Canis lupus familiaris: one gene and its partner. The protein of the gene in region 2 interacts with the protein of the main gene of each other region in a biochemical or structural test. Links are inferred from orthologs where the notes say so. Each region holds a gene or a part of one and is shown on either strand. Other genes may lie near its edges.

Region 1 (3,657 bases), on a different chromosome or scaffold from region 2:
GCTATAGTCTAAACTTAAAAAAATTTTTGACTTTTGTTTTCAAAGATAATACTGATAGAATTAGTATAGAATCTTTATGTGTAGTATGTAGCAGTGACTATAGAAACCATATTGTAATAATTCTTTATGAAGTATCCATATTTAAAATTTTTTATTAATTGATCAACTCTCAAGTTACTAATTATTTAATTGATTGGTATTTCCTGTTACAGATTGTATGCAGGTCCAGAGGTAGATATATGGAGCAGTGGGGTTATTCTCTATGCTTTATTATGTGGAACCCTTCCATTTGATGATGATCATGTGCCAACTCTTTTTAAGAAGATATGTGATGGGATCTTTTATACCCCTCAGTATTTAAATCCATCTGTGATTAGCCTTTTGAAACATATGCTCCAGGTGGATCCCATGAAGAGGGCCACAATCAAAGATATCAGGTAATAATGCAACTTGGAGATGATCAGATCTAATAGTTTCAACGATACAAGTTAAGTGAAAAAAATAGTTGGACAGTATATACAATGTAATGCCATTTTTATGTTAAAAATATAGTACATAGGCATATTTATTTTATTTTAGTATTTAAAAATACTAAACTAGCTACCTTAGGGAAGGAAGATTAGTAGTAGGGAGGGCTTTCACTTTTTACTTATGCATCTTTCTTTTGAAATTGGAACAGTGAATATTAGTTTTTAAATATGAAAAGGTAGGTAATGTGGAATAAAAAGGACCCTGTTGGGATGTTACCTTTGTAGTTGTTCTTTAAGATTTTCTGTAGTATGCTTCATATTTGACTTTTATGTAGTCTCATTAGGATTAATGCTTTTCACTAGTAGCAAATTTCTGTGTCACTCTTTGAGTCCTGATCTCATGAGTTACTGTTTTTTTTCTTTTGTTCATCTTAAGTAATGACATTTAATCAATGATGTGTGTGGTTTTTGGGTAGTATACATTGAATCACATGTGAAATTACTGGTTTCTAAGTTTCATATGGAAGGGCATGCTTATAACTACCAATGGAAAAGGACAAAATCATTCTTTAAAATTTTAAATATCTAAGTGAAAGATGCTTTTTCTTGTGTTTTACATGTTTTTTTTTCCAATTTAAATTGGAAAAGACTTAGAAAACACCCAAAAAATAGAGATCTAAAATGATCTTTAATTTATCACCCAGAAGATAGTTATTGTTCTTTTGGGTGTTTTCCTTTCTTGATGTTTTTAGTTTTAGCAGTTTTTGACATAGTTCAGGTCCTTTTATATATGGAGTTAGGAAACTCTTAGTTCCTTCATTAAAAATAAGGAGATATTATCATCTTCATAGAGTTGTTTTATGAGGTGAGATAATGTGTTGGAAATATTTAGCGTAAAACCTACCATTATAGTAAGCATTCAATGAATGATAATTGTCTGTTTTTGTTGTTACGGTTTTTTCACTTAACATTATATCAAAAGAGAATTAAAATCACAGAATATGTTCTTTTTCTGAGCTGGGAATAAGCTCATCTTCATCATTTGTCATTGTCATTTGTGCCAAAACTTTAAAAGTGTAGACATTTATTTTCCTGTTGGTACAACATTGCTTTCTCCCTCTTAAAACCAGAGGGAGGTTGTAGCATTTCCTCCAGTATATATACACAATGAAATGTGAGCCAGAGGAGGAAAGTCTCAGTTTGAAAAAATGAAAATATAAATGAATTTATATCCTAAATTCCCCAAACTGTTGCTTGCAGTCTCATTCATCTCTACTCAAAATCCTCCTCCTGACCCTGCTGTTTTCTCTCAGGGAACATGAATGGTTTAAACAAGACCTTCCAAAATACCTTTTTCCCGAGGATCCATCGTATAGTTCAACTATGATTGATGATGAAGCCTTAAAAGAAGTATGTGAAAAATTTGAGTGCTCAGAAGAGGAAGTTCTCAGCTGCCTTTATAACAGAAATCACCAGGACCCTTTAGCAGTTGCCTACCACCTTATAATAGATAACAGGAGAATAATGAATGAGGCCAAAGATTTTTACTTGGCAACAAGCCCACCTGATTCTTTTCTCGATGATCACCATTTGACTCGGCCCCATCCTGAAAGAGTACCATTCTTGGTTGCTGAAACACCTAGGGCACGCCACACTCTCGATGAATTAAATCCACAGAAATCTAAGCACCAAGGTGTAAGGAAAGCAAAATGGCATTTGGGAATTAGAAGTCAAAGTCGACCAAATGATATCATGGCAGAAGTTTGTAGGGCAATTAAACAACTGGATTATGAATGGAAGGTAAGAAAAAAAGGACATTCTGATTGTAGTAATAAGCACATTTGGCAAACCTGTAGTTTATAAATTGTTTTCTAGAAGAATTGATTTTGATTTTGCTTTTGTTCATACCATACACTAGGTTGTAAACCCTTATTATTTGCGTGTTCGAAGGAAGAATCCTGTGACAAGCACCTACTCCAAAATGAGTCTACAGTTATACCAAGTGGATAGTAGAACGTACTTACTGGATTTCCGTAGTATCGATGGTATGTACACCCCACAAAACAACATAGCAGACATACTAGACCTTGTTACCTAACTTGCCTTTTTAGTCTTTGATTCTTTTGAAGCTTCTTGAATTGTTCCTAGTAATCAATAGTGAAAGAGTATAAAATGTGATTTTGTGCCTCTGTGATGTCAACATTTGTGAATCATGTTTTTCTTGTAATGTTGGTGTATTGTCCTTTTAAGATTATCTTAAAGTGGGCAGCCCGGGTGGCTCAGTGGTTTAGCACTGCCTTCAGCCCAGGGTGTGATCCTGGAGACCTGGGATCGAGTCCCACGTCAGGCTCCCTGCATGGAATTGAGCCTGCTTCTCCCTCTGCCTATGTCTCTGCCCCTCTCTCTTTCTCTCTCTCTCTCTCTCTCTCTCTGTATGTCTCTCAGGAATAGATATATAAAATCTTTAAAAAAAAACAAAAAAAGATTATCTTAAAGCCAGATGCAGTCTGGTCCTAAAGGGATAGTTTCTGCCACATTCCTGTTTTGTTTTTTTTTTTTTTTTTTGGTATGGTTCATTTGGTAAGAAAATGTTTTATTTAGAAATAAATGTTGACTTTTTATTAAATATTTTTATATCTGATATTTAATTTTGTTTTCATTCAAGAATTAAAGTACCATTAGCTTTTAGAGTTGATTGATAAGGCAGTGTGAACAGATTTGGTTAGTTGCTTATAGGACAAGGAATTATTTGTCAAGTAAAGTTTCTTGCTGGGGACTGAGGGAGAAATGTTTTGGATAGTTTAGGGACTTATGCTTATTTTTCTCCTCTCACCCAGCCTTTTGCTCCCAGCCTGACACTAGACACATATCAGAGATACCCATCCTTTATGAGTTTTGTGAGAGCTACATGATTCCAATTTTATCTACCTCTTAGTAAAGTGTTCTTAAGTAATCACTTTTATATGAATGCACTTTATAAGGATTCCTGGGACTAAAGCATCTTATGTTCAAGATAACTGTCATAATTAGTTAAAAATGACATTGTTAACCTTAACTTTAGACTGTTGTGCATTTCTATTTACCTACAGTCATAAACAATCAGAGACAATCTGATGATCAAATCACTGAAATATTCAGACTTTTTAAGTTGGGTATTTTAATTGGTCATCAAAATGATGACCTTACT
Region 2 (2,219 bases):
TTTTGTCCTGAGCAGTCCTGACCCCAGTTGGTTCAGAGCCAGATTCTTCACCTTTTACCCTCCACCTTACCAAACCTAGGTATGGAACCTGGCAAACTGCAAGCTGAAGACCAATCACATCGGCCACACGGGCTACTTGAACACCGTGACCGTCTCTCCGGATGGATCTCTCTGTGCTTCTGGAGGGAAGGTATTCAGAAACTGGGAGTTTACTACTCAGTGAGGGACTGTTTTAAAAAGATATTTAAGATATTGAGGTAGCAACCAAGAATAAATATCTTAAGATTGCTTCCTGGAAATGACATAGATAAGGCATACTGTTTTAAAGAAAAAGATTGTTTTCAGTAAAGCTGGTTTCTTGAAACTGTTCTTTTCAGAACTGATTGTTCTTTTCAGAACTGATTTATTTAGAAGTTGTCAGAGACATCGTAGGGTTGGTGAGGTGCCCTGCATTAAAGGAAAGGCATTCAGAGATAAATATTGGTATTTGAATCATTCATTAGTTTTTGGGAAGTTTGCGGGGGAAGGGGGACTGTTAAGTAATAAAAAAAATTTTTGAGGCAGTTAAGATTAACAACTGCAATGGGTTTCATATTGCCCTGACTCACCTTTCCTGTCTTCCCAGGATGGCCAAGCCATGCTGTGGGATCTCAATGAAGGCAAGCACCTTTATACACTTGATGGTGGAGACATCATCAATGCCCTATGCTTCAGTCCTAACCGATACTGGCTATGTGCTGCCACGGGCCCCAGCATCAAGATCTGGGTGAGTGTGGGCTACAGTTAAGGCTGAACACCTGGCTGTACTCTCTGAGTCCTGGTAATGTTGTGATTTCCTGATCTGTCACTGCTGGGATTTGAGCTTTCTGAATACCTGCTAACCATGCGGCTAGCAGTGGAGATCCAGGAAGAGCAAGGTAACAGCTTTCCAAGACTGGGATCTGCAGTGGTGGCAGACACTTGTCTACTAAGGGGGATGACAACTTACTCAACTTCAGCACAAGTTGATCTAGACTGTTCTGGGGGCAGGGGGAGGCATTCCTGTATTTTAGGCTGTTCAGTAACATACTCAGCCTCTACTCCCAACTGGATGCCTGTAGCAGAGTCCCTCCTTATCCTGATTTTGCCCATTCCCCAGGACTTGGAAGGCAAGATCATTGTAGATGAACTAAAGCAAGAAGTTATCAGTACCAGCAGCAAGGCAGAGCCACCCCAGTGTACCTCTCTGGCCTGGTCTGCTGATGGCCAGGTAAGTGAGTCTCTGAAGTGACTTGGCTTCTACCTTTTCTCTCTTCCTTTATTCTTGGTGTGTCTTTGACATAAAGTAAAGTGATAAAATTAGCCAGGTTGATTTGGGAGGACCAGATTAACTGTCAGTGAACAGAGTACATGTTCTGGCATTGGAAGGAAAATTGATCGATCTAGCAGTGATTATTAATTACCTTCTCTTGGAATACATACCACCTACAACCTGATGGTTCAAGGATTGGTGATCTTAAAAGGCCATCTTTTTACTAGAAATGCAGAGTTCTGTGACTCTGACATGACCTGTCGCTGTCCTTTCTCCCTTGCAGACTCTGTTTGCTGGCTACACCGACAACCTGGTGCGTGTGTGGCAGGTGACCATCGGCACCCGCTAGAAATGATGGCAGAACTTTAGGAATAAAACATTGGTTTTCTGACTTGTTTGTTTTTCTCTGATAAGCTACCTTCTAATGCTGTATTGCATCACAATGACTTGTGTCTCAGGTATAAATCCTCTAAGCTTGCAGAAAATGTTCTTTAGGAATCGTAAAACCTCAGTTCTAGCTTTATGACATAAATAATTGAACAGATAATTCCTCAAAGCAGTATTATAAAACACAGTATTTTGAACTCTTAATCACACCTGGCTTTTGCTCAAGTGGTAGCTATCTAAGTAATATACTTTTGAAATAGCCTATAGAGATCTTCCATTTCCATTTCCTTCAATTTTATCATGGTATTTCAGCAAGATACAATCTCAGATTTGGGAAATGTCAAGAGTCTTAGGAAAACTGTAGTCCTAAAGCCTCAGAGCATTAATATACACAAAACAGCAATGATCAGCAGATGATCTTCAACTGTATCCTGAAGAGGGAGGGTGCCAATTAAAAAACTGGGTCACTCAGGGGGTGTGTGTGTGTGACTATCACAATATGGAAATAAGATTGCACTAGGTTTAAAAAAAAAAAAAGGAC

The links. The genes of interacting proteins can lie anywhere in the genome.
Region 1: of the proteins of RACK1 (region 2) and PRKAA1, one has a biochemical effect on the other in vitro, tested with the Homo sapiens proteins (2 studies listed by BioGRID). The link is inferred for Canis lupus familiaris from reciprocal best matches to the Homo sapiens genes RACK1 and PRKAA1.

What each region holds. Positions count from the first base shown.
Region 1 is NC_049225.1:69,524,369-69,528,025, forward strand, and holds part of PRKAA1 (5'-AMP-activated protein kinase catalytic subunit alpha-1), read left to right. Parts: intron 1-212; coding exon 213-437; intron 438-1,783; coding exon 1,784-2,270; intron 2,271-2,388; coding exon 2,389-2,515; intron 2,516-3,657. UniProt on the Homo sapiens protein: Catalytic subunit of AMP-activated protein kinase (AMPK), an energy sensor protein kinase that plays a key role in regulating cellular energy metabolism.
Region 2 is NC_049232.1:609,533-611,751, reverse strand, and holds the end of RACK1 (receptor of activated protein C kinase 1), read left to right. Parts: intron 1-79; coding exon 80-190; intron 191-625; coding exon 626-766; intron 767-1,138; coding exon 1,139-1,249; intron 1,250-1,574; coding exon 1,575-1,640; 3' UTR 1,641-1,682; downstream 1,683-2,219. UniProt on the Homo sapiens protein: Scaffolding protein involved in the recruitment, assembly and/or regulation of a variety of signaling molecules. Interacts with a wide variety of proteins and plays a role in many cellular processes.